Caenorhabditis elegans: one gene and its partners. The protein of the gene in region 2 purifies or fractionates together with the protein of the main gene of each other region. This does not show direct contact. Each region holds a gene or a part of one and is shown on either strand. Other genes may lie near its edges. The genes, in order: kal-1, egl-15 and klo-1.

What was found.
Region 1: the proteins of egl-15 (region 2) and kal-1 purify together in Caenorhabditis elegans (affinity purification with western blotting, with the first as the bait; one study listed by BioGRID). This does not show direct contact.
Region 3: the proteins of egl-15 (region 2) and klo-1 purify together in Caenorhabditis elegans (affinity purification with western blotting; one study listed by BioGRID). This does not show direct contact.

What each region holds. Positions count from the first base shown.
Region 1 is NC_003279.8:14,138,450-14,144,484, forward strand, and holds the start of kal-1 (WAP-type 'four-disulfide core), read right to left. Parts: upstream 3,759-6,035; 5' UTR 3,756-3,758; coding exon 3,648-3,755; intron 1-3,647.
Region 2 is NC_003284.9:11,014,463-11,023,144, reverse strand, and holds the start of egl-15 (receptor protein-tyrosine kinase), read right to left. Parts: upstream 6,746-8,682; 5' UTR 6,705-6,745; coding exon 6,617-6,704; intron 6,564-6,616; coding exon 6,502-6,563; intron 6,455-6,501; coding exon 6,293-6,454; intron 5,710-6,292; coding exon 5,640-5,709; intron 5,566-5,639; coding exon 5,215-5,565; intron 5,201-5,214; coding exon of another isoform or gene 5,006-5,200; intron 4,931-5,005; coding exon 4,695-4,930; intron 4,621-4,694; coding exon 4,381-4,620; intron 4,333-4,380; coding exon 4,171-4,332; intron 4,125-4,170; coding exon 4,017-4,124; intron 3,968-4,016; coding exon 3,531-3,967; intron 3,463-3,530; coding exon 3,384-3,462; intron 3,329-3,383; coding exon 3,035-3,328; intron 2,859-3,034; coding exon 2,662-2,858; intron 2,612-2,661; coding exon 2,528-2,611; intron 1,996-2,527; coding exon 1,891-1,995; intron 1,837-1,890; coding exon 1,674-1,836; intron 1,629-1,673; coding exon 1,515-1,628; intron 1,423-1,514; coding exon 1,296-1,422; coding exon of another isoform or gene 1,252-1,295; and 11 more. UniProt on the Caenorhabditis elegans protein: Receptor tyrosine kinase required for larval development. May phosphorylate adapter protein soc-1 which in turn may result in the recruitment and/or activation of phosphatase ptp-2.
Region 3 is NC_003282.8:7,744,348-7,749,839, forward strand, and holds klo-1 (Glycoside hydrolase family 1 protein), read right to left. Parts: upstream 3,655-5,492; 5' UTR 3,642-3,654; coding exon 3,554-3,641; intron 3,495-3,553; coding exon 3,229-3,494; intron 3,179-3,228; coding exon 2,925-3,178; intron 2,841-2,924; coding exon 2,696-2,840; intron 2,655-2,695; coding exon 2,513-2,654; intron 2,359-2,512; coding exon 2,229-2,358; intron 2,188-2,228; coding exon 1,976-2,187; intron 1,888-1,975; coding exon 1,685-1,887; 3' UTR 1,632-1,684; downstream 1-1,631. Other genes in the region: npr-35 (G-protein coupled receptors family 1 profile domain-containing protein), read left to right, coding at 107-336, 383-565, 711-863, 909-1,036, 1,198-1,369; C46A5.4 (Peroxidase), read right to left, coding at 3,867-4,140, 4,267-4,489, 4,536-4,684, 4,955-5,451.

The DNA of each region.
Region 1 (6,035 bases), on a different chromosome or scaffold from region 2:
TAAAAAGGAAAAATTGGCAAATCAACTAGGTACCATACCTATGGGAACTTAGATGTCAGAGTGAAAAGATACCTCATATTTAAGAGCCTTGCTATGTATGGATACTGCTGTGAGTTTAGGACCCTTCACAGCCTGAACTCCTCCGCGCATAGGGTCTAAACCGATATAGGCTCTTAGAAGACCCTAAGGTGCACCAGCCAAAAAAGCCTTACCATGCCGAGTCCTAGTGATCTCAGGATCCATGATCTCAGGGAGCACGTATTTCTTCAACCAAATGGTCTAAGCTAATTTAGGCCTTCAGTAGACCTCTATCAAGCTCATGGTTTTTTTTGCAAAGCCTCCCTGGTCTCCTACAAGCTTAGAGGCCAATCTAGATTTTTAGAACACCCATTTCAAGCCGACCGTCCAGCTTTGACCCTAACCAAACTAGGGCCAACCTAGACTCCCTAGACCCCCAAAGTCACTAGATTTCTGCTCCCCAGGACCTTCAATTCGTACTTTTTTCTCTTCTTTTTCATGTCTTTTCTTCTCTCCACCAAACCCCTAATTATTGAGAAGGTCCCCCCACAAACTACTAACTAACTTTTTTCGTTAGCAAAGCATAGTAGTAAAGTCACTCTCTTTTTGACCTCCGACAGCGCGTGTCATTGTCACTGATTGATGATGTTCGTTAGAGCAAAAAAGAGGAAAGGAGCCGCCAAACTAACATATACCTGACCTCACACCAGCAGAGCTTCCCCCTTTTCCAATATCTTTGCCTTAATCCGAACCTTCTATATGAATATATATTCATTATTATAATTATTACCCCACCACATTCCTTTTCAAGAGATTTCAAAATGAAAAGTAGTAGTAGTAGTGTTGAGAAAGAGATTGGAATCTAAATCCGAATGAAGACGCGGAGGGGTCTCTCCATAAAACTAATTGCCGTCGAGTTTGTGATGCGTGACAATTTCTTGGCCCTGATGCGCGCAGTAAATCATGAACAGCGGTTGTCAGTAAGAGAAGCGAGTAGGTTGTAAATTGCGCGCGGTACGGTGGTCTTGAAACTGATACGGTGGGGTACGGTAAAAATTGGCTAAAGTAAAAAATTGGTTCCCACTGGGCTAAATTATGCTTAAATTGAAACTGATGTCACCTGATTTTTAGGAATTTTTAAAGAATTTTTGGAACTGAAGTATCTTAAAAATGCTTTAAATTGGTCTAAAATTATCAAAATTTGCAGAAAAGGAACAGAAAATCTAGCTTGAAAACTCTTGAAATTTTTCACACCTCATAAAAAGTCATGGACAAGGTCGAAAAATGGTTCAAAATTCTGAAAATTGGGAGAAAAACAGCCTGAAGGCTCTCAAAAGCGGAGAAAATTAGCTTAAAGCATGTGGAATTAACCGAAATCAGCTATCAAAAATCAATCAGAAAAATCAGCTTAAAGTAGCTCGAACCTACCCAAACACTGTCAAAATCTGTTCAGATCACCCAAAAAATCTAGAAAAATCTCAAAATTTGGATAAAATATGTGTAAATTAGCCCAACAAATTAGCTGAAAACACGGAGAAATTGCTCTAAAAACATTAAATTTTCAAAAAAATCACTAAAATCTGTGTAGAATCACTTAGACACCCTGAACAGTCGGTTGCACCATGTTAACCCTTGCCGAGTTTTGACCAAAAATGGTGCAAAATGTCACAAAAAAGCCTGCGATTTCCCTCAAAATCCATCATCAAAATCCCCTAAAAGCTCAAAATTTGGACAAAATAGGTAAAAGTTAGCCTAAACATTTTCAAAATCGGTGAAAATTCACTCTAAAACTGCTAAAACAGTCCTAAACTCGTTACACTGTATAGAAGTACTGAGGAGCCCTTTATGGCCGGTTGCACCATGATAAAACAGATAAAACTCGTCGAATTTTGGCTAAAACTGATGCGAAATTTTTCTAAAAACCCCCCAAATTTCCGGAAATTTGTCCCAAAAACTCCAAAATTCCCTCCCAAGGCCAAATCAATGCACTCTTGAGTGCACTTGGCCGACCTCGGACCTCCTTATTCGAACAAAAGTTTGTGTGTGTGTGTGTGTGTGGACAATGTGTGAATATGACAATAGGGAAGAGTTCACACCGGAAGAGGGGTCTATTCATAACATTCCGAGAGACCTCCTAGGGGTTATTAAGTGGGTCCAGCTACCAAGTTTTATGACTCTTCCCCCCTACCCCTCACCCTATCCCCCCTTAGTAAGAGTCAACAAAAACAACACATTAATTTAGTTTTAGAGCCCAATTCCCCCCCGCGCAGCTGCTCTTTACTTTTATCGTTTACAACATCTAGAAACAACAATGAGTAGTATATGTGACACCTGTAGGGGAGGAGGTCAGGTATCCATCCCCCCATCAGCTGGCAGGAAGTGGTCCCTGCTATTACCCCCACCCCCCTCCATTAGATTTTATCTAGAAGAAACAATGTTTCTTTTTTGAATACCCAATACCTCCATCTTGATAGCACGTTACGCAAGTCACTTTTAATGTTTTCATATACAAAGAGGTACCGCTTAATGTACTAAAATTGCGTAAGGTGTATCGATGGACTCGTATAAGTTGGCGGGCTAGGTTTTTGAATGGTCTTGGCTGGAAAAAGCAAAAATAGATGATTTACAAATTTGAATTTCCCGCCAGCAACTGTATTACTGTAGAAAATGTGAAAAAAGTTTTGGCGGAGATTCAAATTTGTCAAAAAACATATTTTTGGCTTGATTTTCAAATTTTTTTAAAAAAATGTTTGGCGGGAATTTCAAATTTTCATTGAAAATCTAATTTTGGCGGGAATTTCAATTTTTTGAGAAAAACCAATTTTTTGGCGGGAAATTCAATTTTTCTGAGAAGCTACATGTTCGGCCAAAAGTTCAAATTTTCTGAGGAAAATCAAATTTGGCGGGAAATTCAAAATTTCAAAGAAAATAGTTTTGGCGGGAAATTTAAATTTTCTGTGAAAAAAAATTTGGCGGGAAATTCAAAATTTCTGAGAAGAACTGTTTTGGCAGGAAATTCAACATTTCCTCAGAAAACAAATTTTTAGCGGTAGATTCGAATTTTCTAAGAAACTATATTTTCAAGCGAGAAATTCAAAATTTCAGAGTAATTTTTTTGGCGGGAAATTTGAATTTTCTGACAAATTATATACTCAGAAAATTGCTCCCAAAAGCTGAAATCCCCTTCAAACTCCCCCAGAAAAAAAAATCCGAATTTCCCGCCAAATCCCGAAAATTCGCCAAATCAATTCTATTTGTACACCCATAAATTACACTGTACAGTATCTTGCTTGTAAATCTCCCAAAACTTTCTTTGGGGGAGGTCTACCCTTATCAACATCTCCTACCACCGGAATTCGCCCTTGATTGACATGTTTGTTCTTCTACATGTCGTCGTATATTTAGGCGGGGGGGGGGGGGGGGGTATCCACTTGAAAACCGAGAAAAGGAGCCGCTATGTGTGTGTGTGTCGGTATTTGGAGAGCATGAAACAATGACAATATGCCTAGGTCACAGGTACTAGAGCCAAGTGGTTATGGATATAAGGACTCTTTCCTAGATTGTGACATGGTGCATCGATTTTTGCTCAATTTTTCCCATAAATTAGCCAACAATTTCCAAAAACTCACTTGTAGCCTCTGATCCATCAAGTGAAGGCATTGAGCCTGACATCGAGTCGAAATTAGCTCGTCCGGGCTCACGGAGCCCAATATGAATAGGAGCAGCAGTAGAATCATGTGCTGTAAGAGTAAAAATGTGCAAAAAAAAAAAAGAAAAAAAGAAGTTAAAAGAGTTAACGAGCCCAATTTGCATATTTTATGAACTGGCGAAGGGGGAGAAGAAGATAAATGTAGCTTTTTAGGGGGTAAAAATGCAGTTTTTGAGTTAAAAATTGAAGAAAAATGAGGAAAAGTACAGCAAAAAGCTCAAAACTGCTGAGAAATCCGATAAAAACTATGTAAAAAAGGAAAAAAGCACATGGTGCATCGACTAACAAATTTATCGATGCACCATGATTTTTTCTCGAGTTTTCTCGAATTTTTCGTGATTTTTAAGCTTTCCCTGTTGTTCTCTAAGTTTCTAACATCTTTTTCCGTTTTTTAAATTAAAAAATAACACAAAAAATACCAAAAAATGCTCAAAAACCTTACAAAAATATGTTAGAAACTCAGGGCAATGCTCACGGTGCATCGATCAATTTTGAAAATCTACGAAAAAAACCTTCAAAACTAAGAAAAACTCAGAAAAAAGCTCATGATGCATCGAAAAATTAAGGAAATCTACAAAAAAAAACCTTTAAAACTACGAAAATTCAAAAAAAAAGAAGTTATGGTGCATTGAGAAAAAGAAAAAGGCTTTTCAGAAAAAGGCTTCAAAACTACAAAAAAAATCAGAAAATCCAGAAAAAAGCACATGGTGCATCGACTGATCCAGTGGAACCGCCAAAAATTCAGAAAAAAAACCCCACGAAAACCCAAAATTGTACAAAATGACCGTAGAACCCGGAAAAATTCGCCCCAAAATCTAATAAAATATTATGACAAACGACAAATAACAATAGGGGGCCTCTAAATGATACACGCGTTCCCAAACAAACATATTAAATTCATTGCCCAGGGAGGAGGTACGGGGGGTGAGGAATGACAAGAAATGGGAGGGGCATGGAGACAAAAGAACCGCCCATCCGTTCTCAGAGACGCAGGGAGGAAAAGGATGGGGGAAGGAAGAGGGGAAGAGTCTGATTTGGTGAGGGAGCTCAGGGTGATAGGAAAAAGAGTATATTATCGAAAAAATACGATCGCACAAATTTCTCATAATTTATTTTTGATCTACCTCTGTTGAACTTGACTCCGCCCCCAATCTTGTTTCCGTTGTTAATTTGTTGTGGCTGTCTTGTAGAAGGTAGGGGAGGAGCCTAATCAACAAGGTAGATCAAAAATAAATTATGAGAAAATTGTGCGATCGTATTTTTTCGATAATAATTTGAAAAATGGTCTGAAAATCTGTTTAAAACCAAAACCACAGAGAAATACAGAACACTCATGGTGCATCGACAAATTCTAGGAATTTGAGGAAAAACTTTCAAAACTACGAAAAATTGCAAAAACCCCGGCCAAAAGCTCATGGTGCATCGATAAATTGGGGGAATTTGCGGGAAAAAAACCTCCAAAACTATTATACGAAAAATTTTTTAAAAATCGAGAAGAACGCTCATGGTGCATCGACAGGTTTGAAAAATGTATAGAAGAAGGCTTTAAATATACAAAAAATGCAATAAATCTAGAATAAAACACATGGTGCATCAATAAATTTTAAGAATTTGCGGGAAAAAAACGTTCCAAACTATGAAATAATTCAAAGACCCCGGAAAAAAGCTTATGGTGCATCGAAAAAAATCTACTAAATTATCTGAAAATTTAAAGCTTATGGTGCATTGATTAACACGGTGAATTTCAGAATAATTTATCGAAAAATCAAGAAAAAGCCCTGAAACTTGCCCAAAAATCTTCACAAAATCATGGTGCATCGACCAAAAAAAAAGGCTGAAAATCACGGTTTGATCTACAAAAAATGCGGGAATTTTTCGCCCAAAAAAATGTGATGTTAGCATTTCTTTTTGTTCTTAATCATGCGAAATCAGTTGAGAAGTCTGCCCTATTTCTCCCCCATTTTTTGTAGATCTACGTAGATCAAGCCGAAATGACCCACATATGGTGCATCGACAAATTCTCGGAATTTAGGAAAAGACATTCAAAACCACAAAAAAATTCTGAAAATTCAAGTGAAAGCTCATGGTGCATCAAGTAACTCAGCGGATTCGCTAAAAAAATCTCTTGAAGTCTGCTAAACTAGCTATAAATTAGCCTATTTTGATTAATTTTAAGGTAGAAAAAACGCTGAAAATTTGCTCAAAAGCCAGAAAATGAAGCTTTTTTTCTCCCGAAAACTTAAACTTTCGCTCAAATTTCTTAGAAAATTCTATTTTTTTAGAGGTACTTTGCCTGGTTTAGTTTGAA
Region 2 (8,682 bases):
CAATAGTTTCCTTTGTCGGCAACGGGTTGCGAGGCGTCCTGAAAAGAAGAAGTTCGCTGAACTCTGTAGTAGTGTTTTCATGCCAGAATTGGCACTCACATGTTCTTTTTGATTATGATTTTCGAGTAGAGTGGATGTGACTGGATATAGTTAGGATGATATGATTCCTCGAATATTGCAGAATCTCTTGATCTAAAAGTAAAAGAACAACTTCAGTTTTATAATTGTTTTTATTGACACATTTTATTTCGGATTTTGGTTAATTTTTACGCTTTTCTATGATCATTTAAGAACTGTTTCAGTAACTGGTAAACAATAATTTTCCTAAAATTATGCAAAAGAGGGTGATAATTGGGCCGCTCCTACACGTACAAGTTCTAAAGATAAACATTTTGAAGTGTTTCTTCTCTTTTAGAAATTAAAACGTTAGCTTTTTAATTTTTAGGTTTAGAACTAATTGTGATGGAATTAATGTGTGAAAAATTATTCAAGTTCTAGTTGAATTCGAGATTTTGAAAGATCAACATTTTTGAACTAATAGTAAGTGTGACTGTATCATATTTATCAACTTAAATTTCAGGTTTTATTTTAATGTAAAGTTTTTAAACAATAAAAAAACTCTATTGGCTGTTTTTATCTAGCAAGTTTGTTTACTAATTATTAAAATTTGTTTCGATACTTGCCTAGTCATACAATCTGGATCATCGAAGGTAAAATGAAGATATTGAATTTTAGACGTTGTATTATAATACTGGTGAGTTTGATCTGCAAATGAAACTTTAAAGGTTACATAGCACAACATTTATAAGTGTCATGTTAGTCTGGACACTTGACGGAGGCAAATCTGTAAGCTAACTTATGTGATTTGATGTTCTGCAACCCATTACACCAAACAAAAATGTTACAGGACAAAAACACACAACACGGAAACATGATTACCACAATGGACTTTTAAATGACATCTGATAACGGCGGAGAGACTACTATGAGTAATAGTAGTGATGCTTCTCATCATCTATAAATTCATTGAAATCGTTGCCCTGAACTTAAATGTCAGTAGCGAACTGAAAACGAACCTAAACAAGAAGCTTTGTTAGAGGGACGGTCGTACGAAGGCCAAGCTGGTGAACCGAGGGCAGAGTCGAGAGATTGGTTGGCAACACCGCTGACGGCACGAGCTAATTTATCTTGTCGAACATACCCGTTTCCGATTGGTTCGTTGAGCACTTTGTGGATGTACACTAAAAACGGTCAAAATTCGGGTTTGCTCATGCTATTGTTGTTTGATGGAATACGTTGAGAGGTTTCCGGTGTAATAATGTGATTTTTCAGCATATTGTCATTGCAGTAGAGATGATTCGGATCATTGGGTGGTTCTACAGAAAAATTGGACTCATAGTCGTCGCAAATTGTGTGTTGTGGCTGCAAAAACAGTGCTTTATGGATTCCGAATTCATAGGTTAAATTCTTTTAAAATTTAAATACGTTATGTACGAAATTACGTTTTGATCTACCTCTGATGGAAGATTCACTGGAGCTGAAAGAGGGCGATGTTTTCTCTTTTTCTGGAATGACTCCATAGGAGAAACTGGACCTGATGCCGTGGATCTTTCGGAGAAAAATTGATCCTGGAAAATATCCTCAAAAATGTTGTCACAGATGTATGACCTTACATTAAATTCTTGTGATCCCTCAATAGTCTCATTTGTCATTGTTAACATCCAATCCAAATAATCTACGATTGTTTTAAAAGATGGTCGTTCTTCCAATTTTTCTCTCCAGCAGCTGCACATCAAATGGTAGACTTCTTGGGGACATAAATGTGGTGGCTCCATTCTGCAAAAACATGTCAGACAGGTGAGATTTGCATGTTTTTCTCAATATTTTCACCTGTATCCTTCTTTGAGGTTAGCATAGAGTTCAGGCATGGCAATCGTTGGATAGGGAGTTCCACCAAGTGTCATGATTTCCCAAAGGAGAACTCCATATGACCATCTACAAAAGTATCAATGAGTCATTATAGTATTAATTTTGGTACACAACCACTGTCGTGCCCTAAAATTGCCCCAAAAAATGTAAATGGAAAACTGAAATAAAAGCGTGCCAAGAAAAATGGTGAATGCATTGTTCACAGAGTGATAGTTTTGGAAGCAATAGTATTTTTTTTTTTTGATATTCAAATTTGAATAATATATTTTTTGTTAAATTAAATTGTCGTTCAATAGTTTTTTATAACTATTTTTCCACAGGCGGGAAACAACTTCAATTCAGACATATCACAAATATATTTATGTTTAATGTTTTTCCCTAAATTAAAATCCTAAAACGTTGTATCCTAAAAACCCAAAATAAGTAAAATAAATATACAGCTATCCCGATTCAGATGCTCAGGTTGACTCAGGATGATTAACTTGTGTGAAAAGACAAATAAGACATATGTGATTATATTGAAAAATCAATTTTTTTCAAACGTGAACCTGGAAAGGACCTCCACGAAACTTTTCTACCACAGAAAACCATTACTCACACATCACTTTCCACGGTGTATACATTTGAGTCCAACGCTTCTAAAGCCATCCATTTAATGGGAAGTCTGCCGTTTCCACGTTTTCTGGAAGTAATATATCATCAGTAATATATCATTAGGAATAATGTTACAACCTATAATAATCGTTACAGTGCACATCTCTCGATAGTCCAAAATCCGATATTTTCAGAACGTGTCCATCACCGACGAGAACATTTCTTGCTGCCAAATCACGATGTATGATCTTCTTTGATGCCAAGAAGTTCATTCCTTGAGCCACTTGCCAAGCAAATTGTACAAGATGGCGTTGTGTCAAATTTGGTATGAGCTCCTAAAAATGAAAATTTCAGCAAAATTACTCTGGTAAATTTAAAACTGACTAAGACAGGTTTACTGATAATGAGCAATCAGGAAAACGCTTTTCTACAAGATTTTCAAAGTTTGATGAGTATTTCAAATTTTGTCAGTGGAAAAAATCATATTTTATTCAAAACATAAGCCACTCACAATGTCATCCTTATCAGATGCTTTTCGTGGTTCCAAATAATCCGTCAATTCTTGGCTGGACTTTTTTGCCTTCTCTTCCTTAGGTCTATGTGCTCTCAAGAAATCGCGCAAATTCCCATGCTTGCACAGCTCAACAACGACATAAAGCGGACCAGCGCCTGTACAGCATCCAATCAATCGCAACACGTTCTCATGTTCTCCTATAACTTTGAATGTTTCCATTTCACTGACCAAGTCAATGAGCTCTTTTTCGTGAGCTGACATTTTCAATTTTTTGACAGCAACTGCGATTTCCTGAAACGCAATTAAAATTTCAGATTTTCTTGTTTTTTTGTTTTCCCAAAATTACATTGTTTTCTGTTTCTTTGTATGTTGCTTTCCAAACTTCTCCAAATGCTCCCTCGCCAAGCATGTGAACCAAACTCAATCTAAACGTTGAAATTTAATGTTTAAATTGAATTCTTGTCTGGCTGAATGTATTAAAGATTTGACCCACTTTGATCTTTCAACTTCCCAAACTGGATCCGAATCAACCTCGTATTCCGAAAGAACAGTGTTTTCTGAATTCATACGTTTTCTTTGTTTTCTCGCTGCTTCTTTCTTTGTAATTGGAGTCTCTATTATTTGAATTTGATAAGGTGATGGCTCATCATCCGAATTCTCATTATCTTCATTCATTGGCCTTTTGCTAACTACGACTCTTTTTTTTCTTGCCACTAATCCAACAGTATCATCCATGAATCCTTTTTTGTGTAGTGTTTGTTTGCACACCATAAACAAAATTCCAAATAATGTTGCAGCAAGCAGTAAGAAAAGCAGAATTGTTGTAAATATATAATCGGATGTTGTCCATCTATCTATCTTCGGTTCGTCACCAGTGAGCAAATGTATGGCCATAAACTCATTCACCGTTAAAGTGGCATTCGCCATCGACTGTAAAACTCTTAATTTGTTCAACTAGAAGGTTCAATCAATTTCTTACCATCCCCAGTGAGTTTCCACTGAGACAAGCATATATTCCCTGATCATCCAGCGACACATTGAAAATAGTAAGCGTCGATTCATCACCAACGTGATGGACGTGCGCTTTCTGAAACGACACTTTTTGATAGATGAGAACATGTTTCATAACATACATCAAAAGTGTCCATCTCTGTGTAATTGAACATATACTCTTCAGCTGAATTGTTGTAGTAGCTATACGACCCATTGATTTTGTTGATGCGTACCCAAATAATATGAGGCAATAAGTCAGAGACAACTTTGCAGTGGAATGTGGCAGTGTCATTAATATTTACCTAAATATAAAACATTGAAACTATAGATGCCGTGAGGCAAAATCTTACTGATTGATTAGCCAAAATATTCGGAACGATAATGGGCGGTCTTCTCATTCTGTTGACTATGATCACATGGAAATACTTTTTTGCACTTCCAACTTTGTTCAATGCTTCACAATGAAACTCCCCAGAATCTGCTACGACAGCATCTTCCACTTCTAAAGACCATCTATTGAACTTGAATTCGTATCCGCCGGACCGAGCACTACTTTTCTTCAACATTTTGCCGTTTTTGTACCAGATAATCTGTGATCAAATGCATTGATTGAAAATCCAATGTTTCTTTACGTGAAAAATTTCAAGTTTTTCATGAATCGTACCTGTGGCTCAGGGTATCCTTTTGCGCGACAATTAAGTTTCAATGTTCGTCCTGCTGGTAGAGCATGCGTTTCATTAAACAATACAATGTTGTCGTTTGACTTGAAATATGGTGGCTCTTCCGCAGTAATATTCAGCTCAGTGAGCCCCGCATCTGGAGCAACCGGTTGTGAAACACTATAGTCTTCTTCTTCGTCTTCTTTGTTTTCTTTTTCATCAGCATTGATAAATTCGGTTCCTAAAAACAAGTTTACTGAGATATATAAGAAGAAAATGAAGCATTTAAAATAATTCAACCACTGATGTAGCCTACCCAAAGCATGATTGATCTGTCTTAATCTCAGAATGTGCCTGGCTCGAACAATTTTCTGTTCATTATTCATCTTCTCCCATCCGCCCAATTGGCTTTTCACTCTCCTCATTTCCGCAGGAGGTAGCAATTTTGGCAATAAATGACTAATATCGAATACTCGATGCTCAGTGAGCCAATCGAACAGTTTAAGTGGATCTGAAATAACTTACTGGATTCGGATGGACTTTCTTCAGAGTCATGCACGGGCACAATCACATCATCTTTTTTCAAAACAACACGCTTTACTAAAGGATCGTCCTCGGGTTTCCCAGGTAAACCAAAATCCGAAACAGGAGTAGTGTCAAATTCTTTGCAGTGATCACCAAAGCAAGGAATCATTGGCAACGGTTTTCGTGCTCTATTTATCATGCGAGATGCGTACTTTGAGCAGACTTCTCCTGTTACCGCTGCATAGTTCACATCAGATCGTTTTGCTTCTTTGTTGTATTTCCATAAACAAACACATTCCATCGGAATGTTCAAATGATGAATATCGGGAAACAGGAAGTAATCACAAAAGTCTGAAAACAAAGCACACCATGCATGGAAGAAATTATGCTTGCACTGCAAAGAATCGAGCAATAGAGATACTTACCAATAACTTCAACTGTAAAATTTCGTGATATTTGTCCATATGCGTTGTGTACGCGGCAAGACCAAAGACCCTGCAAAAATATTAGTTTTTAAACGTTTTTAAACGTTTTTAAATAAACGTTTTTTTTTAAGTTGACAGAGTCAAAAACTGCTGAAAAAAGTTCTCAGTTTGTTGGTATTTTTGAATTAATATATATTTTTGATGATGCTTAAAACTCATGGTAGTCGGTTATAGTTTTTTTTCCTATTTTCTTTCATATTATTCTTGCAGAACTAAACACGCGCAAGAGATATCACACAAACTTTAGCATCTACAAGATATTTTTTATTGGTTAAATGTTTTTTTTTAATAATTCCAAACATTTTTCAAACATTAAATCATTTTAATTATCATGTTGTATTGTTTCTTTACGGTATTTTAGGTAACTCCAGTATTTTAGGTTAAAAACAAGAAAAACCAAATTTGAAACGAGACATCGAAATACAGTTTCATAGTGTATGTTAGTCTTGAATTCCTATCAGTCTTTGCACTCTAAATTGTCAATTAAAAAAATAGAAATGCATGCAATTCTAATAGGAGAAATGCGATACTTGGTGTTCTAACCACATTGTTCAACAAAAAAAAAACCACAAAAATAATAAAAAATCATATACCTGATCTGAAACATCAATATTCTTCAAGTGAAGCATCATCCTGTTATTATCTTTCCGAATTTTGTCTTTATCTATTTGATCATTTTTGAGTAACTTGTCATTACGATACCATTCGACAAAGGCAGAAATCTTTGACGCCGCGGTTTGACAGTCAAATTTTATCTAAAACTGTGTACATCTATTGCTGTTAAATATTTGTTCCACCAAACCTCATCTCCAAGAAATACTTCGTATCTTTCGTTTGCTACATGCTTGAAACGGGGAATATTTTCTGTAAAATCGAATAATATGAAAATAAATTAGATTTTGTGACAACTCTCTTACCTCTGTAATGACTGGTCAATCCTTGAAGAGAACAAGAAACTGTAGAAAGTAAGCCCACACCGAGGCAGGATGCAAGGAAATAACTCATGATGATATGTATCAGGCAAACATTCGAATTTCTGCAATCTTTTGTATCTACTATTTATCTACTAATAATCAAAATATTAAAACACTCAGAAGGAGAAGCTGTGAAACTTTTGAAATTGAATACATGTGAGAGAGGTGAATCAGACCGGTACAAAGATTTATTTGTTGGGTTCTTACTGGTACCTCTGCGCGAGCCATGGGTTATATATTACTGGCTCCATACCCCACCACCATATGTAACAAATTGGCGACACCCGCGCAACGTTTTCAAAAGTTCCGACCCTCTGGGTCATAAGGTCTAATGATCTCTGGGAACAATCAAGAAACTAAAGCAAATCATAATTAGAACCGTCTAAATTTACGCATATGTTGCTCATAGAAAAAAAAAACGAGCAGCGAGCGGAGGGCGATAATAAAAAGAGTAAAAAGTGAACGAGCGTCAAATTGAGACGACGAAAGACGTCCAGATGTTAAGATGTTGTGGATTCGTTGTCTTCGCCGACAAGGTGGAATGACACAATGCCGTTTCGATTGATATCGAAGCAAAACCTTGAATAAGAAGTCACATCTGGAGGTGTTTCTTCCGGATGCAGTGCATATGTTACGGAAACAAAAACCTTTCAACATTTCCGGACACAATGTAACTTTTTATTGCTAGTCTTGCAGTATGATATAGCGAATAAAGTGGGTCTATCTTTTCAATGATCACGGCTATGTTATAGAGTTATGTAATTTTTTTAGAGCAATTTGAGGTTTTATAAAAACTCGTTATGTATAATAAAAACAAATTTTAGCAGCTGATGTAAGCGTAATAACGCTATGGTAACTTTTCAAAACCAACGTCATACATTGCATATAAAATAGTTTAAATTAGATCAAATTTGAGATTATAAGGCTAGTTTTCAAAATAATGAGATACTTCTTTAGTGAAACATTCTATCTAAATATTCCTAAAAAAATAAAAAGAAAATGTTCATAAAAAACTTAGGTTGTGATTAATGATTAGAACATTTAGTTATAAACCAGCTTTTTGATTATTGAAGTGTAATTTAATCTGTGCGATTTCTAGGCACTTTTTTGTAGAAGTTATGTATTATAAAATTGTAATTTCAAAACTTAATAGTTGCACAACAGGGTGTGACCAACATTCCAAGAGATGCTTATCGCGGATACGAGATGGTTAGTTGCGAGTCTAATTAATTCAAATGTCACATCATTTACTCAATTTTAACAGGTAGGTGAATGGATTTCTTGTTTCAATTTTGTCATTAAACCAGTTTGTTGCCCCCAAGAATTCCATTAGAAAAGAGTGATAAGAAAAAGAGAAGGGGGCATTACAATCATGAGACGGTAACCGACAACATAGGCGTCGGTTTTTTGTTGCTGTGGGTCTTATTTTTTGGAGTATTTGGTATGTGTCTACAGGCTAATCAATATAGAAAAATGCAATCAGAAAGTGAGAGAAAATCAAGGGAATTAGAAAAAGAAGGAGAGATAAACGAGAATGGACAATGATGAGAAAAGAGATGCGTTAAAAAGAAAAGGGGTTAGTGATTGGGCATTGCGCATAAGGCAGTCAGTCGCCAAAAATGATAGAACACGGGATAATTGTAGGCGACATATTTAGATGCAAAAGCTAATTCAATTTCGGTTTTTCTTTATTTACGCGCACCTGTTTGTGTTGCATTCCTTTATAAATCTCGAACGCGAAAAGTTATTGTAAATGAGTCATTTTGACAGTGTGCAGGTGAACAACATGTGGTCAATATGAAAATAGATATCAGAATGCAATTAAATGCGAAAGGTCGAAGAAGTAAGCGGGTCTACCGAGAATTGGCTGCGTATCATATATCACGCGCAGTGGAACGGCACCACCTCATTCAATGTCACGAGGAGGACAAAACAAGTAACAAATGATTTAACGCCGTAAATCTCTTCTATTTATTAAAGCAATCTAAAATTGAATGAAAACAATGAAA
Region 3 (5,492 bases), on a different chromosome or scaffold from region 2:
TTTGACAGAGAATTTTGACATTTTTTGAAAGTGGTTCTCAAAAGACTATTATAGGGATATTTTGGCAAAATTTCCGTTTTTAATGAAAACAGCTTTATATTTTCAGAATGGCTTTGGGGTCAATTTTTCTGCCGATTGTCCACATGGGCTAACGCATCTACGTCATTTGCATCAGTTTACACCTTGGTTGCAGTGACGGCTGATCGTTATCTAGCTATTTGCCATACGTTGAAATACAACACTAGCTGGGATCGAGAATATACAAAATATGTTATATTTGCTGTTTGGCTAGTAGCTGCAATATTCGGAATACCTAATTGGTATAACTATGATTTGGTATAAATTTAAAATCGTTGTTTTTTTTTCAAAAAATGCATTTCAGATAGTATGGCAAGAAGGCAGTTATGGTTACCGATTATGTACGTCACAAACGGATCAAAAATTATATTTTTTATTTGTTAACTTATTGCTGGCTTTCATAGTTCCATTTGGTTTGATTTCGGGTCTATACACGAGAATATTTATCACTGTATCAACACATAGAAGTCTGGCAGTTGATGCAAGAGTAAGTTTTATATATTTTTAAACAAATCAAAAAAATCGATAGCCAAGAAATTATTTTACGAGGCTCTTTTAAATTTTTAGCAAAAACTAGATATTAGAATGATTCCATTAAATTTCTATGTGTAAATTGATATTAATATTTTTAGGCCCGAGAAGATCGAGTAAAACTACGAGTTGCCACAATGATGTTAACAGTAATAATTGTATTTGCTTGTTGCTGGTTACCTCTCTATTGCATCTTCACATATTTTTTCTTCTTTGCTGATCAGCGATCGGATCTTTTTCAAATTACTTCAATGGTAGCTGTTTACATATTTATCTTATTAAAAAAGCAAGAATTTCAGTTGATTCGGCCAATATTCCAATGGATGTCATTACTATCGAGTTCTTTAAATCCAATAATTTATATTGCATACAGTCACAAGTACAGAAGAGCTTTCAAAAGTATATTACTGATGCCATGTAAGACAAGGTGAGCAAAAGCTTTTGACACTTTTAGTTTACTTCTTTTGTATTTATTAGTTTTATTCAAATGTATTATTTATCTCTTGTAAATGCATTTTCCTGTAAAATGCGTTTCTAACGTTTATTTTTAAGACTAAATTTATTTTCAAATAATCGGTATATTTTCAGATACGAAAGAGTCCGAAGCACAATACTCCGTCGTCACTCTCGTGGCTTCAAATCAACTGCAACAATTTCAATGTCTAATTTTGGAACTGAACCAACAAATTTAGGTGGAGCATCTAGTTTACTTATTGAACTAGATGGAAAACAGGTGGAAAGATCTACTTCTGATTGTTAAACTTTTTAAAATCATTGAATATGAATATTTTTATATCTAGAACGTTAGGAGTTCAAACATTTTCAGAATCTTAGGTATTCGAAAACATGAAAACATTATTACGGATTGAATTAAAAAATTATGTAGTGTATTAATCAACAATAGAGAAAGTTTTTTTTTAATCAACTGTTTCCTACAACTAAACGTTTTCCATGTTCCTTTTTTCAATTACGGTTTTCCATTTCCACGTGTTTTCTATTGTTTCAACCATCACAAATGCTTTAAATGTTTTTACTAGCATGCAATCTATTTATTATCAATACATTTGTATCCATTCTACAAAAGATTATGATGCTTTTTAAATTCGCGAATAAAAGTTTGATAATATTTAGCCGAATATTTCATGGTTCTTGTTTTGTCTGGAGAATCAAAATCGACGCGACAAATTCCAAATTTAACACCGAATCCGTCATCCCATTCGAAATTATCCATCAGAGTCCAGAGTGTGTAGCCAATGACATTACATCCTTCTTCCAGTGCTGAAATTCAAGTGATCGAAGTTTCCCAAAAATTAATTGAATATCATTGTTTTTTTATTTTTCGAAACTTTTTTCAAATTTAATTTACCTTTAGCTACCGCTTCCAAATGTCCGGAAATAAATTTTATGCGATGCTTATCATCAAGTATCTCCTCTTCTTTTCTTCCTTCACCTCCTACCAAATCCATACATCCATTTTCAGTGATGAATACAGGAATATTATTGTACTTGTCTCTAACATATTTCAAAAGCCCGAACAAACCGTCTGGTGCATAACGAACCCATGTCTCACCACAAATTCTGCAAATTTCTTGGTTATAGGAGAACTTGAAAAAACCAACTTTTCCCATTTTCCTTCATTAAACGCATAAGCTGCGTCTCTTTCTGATTGAGATGCTGGCTCCTCCCCATCATTTAAATTACGAACAATGTGGCTGAGATAATAGTTTATTCCCAGGAAATCAGTGCTTCCTGAAAAAATTATAATTGAAAAAAATTGAAAATTATAATTGGTAAAATATATCAGCAAAATGAATTTAGAGCTGCCAATATGGTGCAAGGCTAACTTAGAAAAAAAAAGTTAACTAATCTTTTTAAAATCAAAAATTTCCGATCGACAGCTAACCTTTGATGAGTTTCTTTTCTTCTTCAGAGAACTTTGGTAGAAACGGTAATTTTTCTCTCATTGAGGCTGGGAAGTCTCCGGAATCAGTCAAAATTGGTTCAATTGTATAATTGAAGAGCCAATCCAGCGCTCGATTACATGCCTGCAAATCATTAAAGTAAGGAAGTCAATAGTTTGACTAACATCAAGATCTGCAGGAGAATCTGAAGCAGGTAGACAGAATCTTCCACCATTTGTTATTCCGATCAAGCCATTTTGAGTTTCTTTGTAGTTTTTCTGGTAGTTTCGATAAATTTTTGCGTGAGTAAGAAGCATGTTGGTGGCTGCACTGAAAATAAAATATTCAATCAGCTTATTCCAAAACATTTGTTTTTTCCTTCGCTTTCAAAGGTTTTTTTCTTCAGAAACTGACATGTAAGGTGCTTGTTCATGATTCTCGATTTCTGGACGATCTGGGCATAACCAAAGTTCTCCTTCAATCTTTACAACTGATGACCAAGCCTGCATGTTTATTTCGTTGAAAGTTATCCATGTCTTCACAAGATCTCCAAACTTTTGGAAACATAAATCTGCGAATTTCTCGAAATGTTCACAATTCTCCTTGTTTAGCCATGATGTTCCATTGTCATAAATTGAAAGAGGCATGTCGAAATGGAACAGTGTCACCTAAATAACATGTTTTCGCTTTTTTATGTTTCAAAGAAATTATTACATACAATTGGCTCAATTCCATTGTCACGTAGTAGAAGACAAATATCACGATAGAATTGAATGCCATCTTCATTTATTGTTTTTAAAGTTCCATCTGGAAGAATTCTGGACCAAGAAATTGAAAATCGGTAGCTGGTGACACCGATTTTTGAGAGAAGAGCAACGTCTTCTTTGTATTTTAGACGACCTTCACAGGAAAGATCAGGGTCCGAGTTATCATGAATTCTACCATTTTCAGAACGAATTGAATCCCAAGTACTGAATCCGCGGCCTTAATGATTTCAGAAGTAAATTTCTAAAAGAATAATTTTTAATTCAAAATAAACTTACCATCTAGATTTTTTGCACCTTCAATTTGATACGCCGCGGTAGCCGTAGCCAATTGGAAATTTTTTGGAAATTTAGTTGGCAAAGACATAACCGAACAAGACATCGACGGAATGATAACTGATAAGAGGTATTTTGTGTGTCAACAGTTGTGTTCAATCGGGTTATGTAAATGAACATTGTTTGTGCCTGATAATAGAGGTATGGAAAATCATATTATTTATGTACATGAAATGGAATACCAGAAGGTTTGAACGAATACTGTAAGAGGTCAGAATATCAAAATTAGAGTTTGATAAAAAATAAATAAATTATTTCAAAGCTTTTTGAGTTGCTGAGAGCATTGAATGAGGCAAACTGGATCCTTTTGAATATCAGTGATTGAGTAATCACGAAGAAGACGAGAACAATCATCAATTGTGATTGAATGACATTCAGGACCTTCTAATGTACATGTACAGGTGATACATGGAGTTATTCGTTTAGTTTTTCCACGATTAACTACACGTTCATCAACAAGGCAATAGTCTCGTTCAACCCATTTGTTCAGGTCAATCTCAGAAAGTTCAGAGCATGTCATCGGAGAGTTTCTGAAAATTATATTTAAGTTTTTGAACTAATTATTAATAAGAAAACTGTTTTTTTAAATTTTTTAAAAATGTTTATTAAACTGAAAATGATCATTTATAGACCTGTTCAATAAATCTCCAACTTACGTAAGATCGTCTGGCATAAGGAACACATTGGGTTGAATATTTGCGGCATATTCACTATTATCGCAAATAATTCTTGACAAACTGGCTTTTCGAATTTCGACAAGTTGATCTGGAGTAAATCGAACCATTGAATCACTTGTCTCATAATAAAATCTGTCGCATTTTTTCAATCTTTGCATTTGTTCACCAATAAGACATGCTAATGTTGGGCCAACAAGTGAGCCTTAATAATTATTTTAAAAAAGCAACAAGTAGAAATTCCGGGTCACCTCTAGTTGGAGATTCACTCATGATTCCCGGGAACAGGTCAATGTCGTCAACATGAGCATAAGCTGTTTCTAAAGCTGTCACAGCTTCTGAGTTCATGACATCACGAAGATCAGAGAAAGCCGATGCTTTTCGAAGTCCACAGTGTTTTCTGAAATACTTCTTAAAATATAAATTTGAAATGTTTACATGCGAACAATATGCTCAGCCGATACCCATCGAGGTTAACCACTTAATCTCGTAATTATGTGTTAAATATTTCGCCTAAGAAACCCAAGTGAACAACTAGGGAAATTGCTAAATTGTGATGACAGAAACGGTTGACGCAAAACGTAAAGATATGCTTGGAGACATTTCGCGCCACAAATGTAGGCATTTTCATCTACTGCCGGTTTTATAAAATTTAAATTGAAATACAAACCTATATGCATTGTAACCTTGAACTCCGTGATCTCTGCCTCTTTGAATATTCACTGCTGGAAGATCCAGTCCAGTTAGTGGACCACCAGGTTTTGCGAACAAATGATTCCGAACAGCCGTGACAATATGACGATCAAAAGCCATACTGTTTGCTCCAATTAATCCCATTAAGATTGACTCCATATGACCGGAGTTCTTATCGTAAACTGGAGATGGATTCGAAAAAGTTTCAGTTAAATTTACATGATTTGTCATGTTTTGGAAATTGTCATTCATTCGTGTGAATACACCACGGATCAAAGAATGTCCAAATCGAAATGCAGATGTTGACATTTCTTGGGATATTGTGGCATCACATTGATCATCGTAACCCTCAAAATATCCAGCTGTTTGTGGCATTAGACCCCATTTTTCCATATTCTGGCAACCAAGAACCACTGGCAACCATTCTTTGTAAATAATGTGTTGAAGTTGTGCAATGTTGATTCGACGGGATTCCTATAAACTAGGTGGGTTTATATAGGAATTTCAATACAACA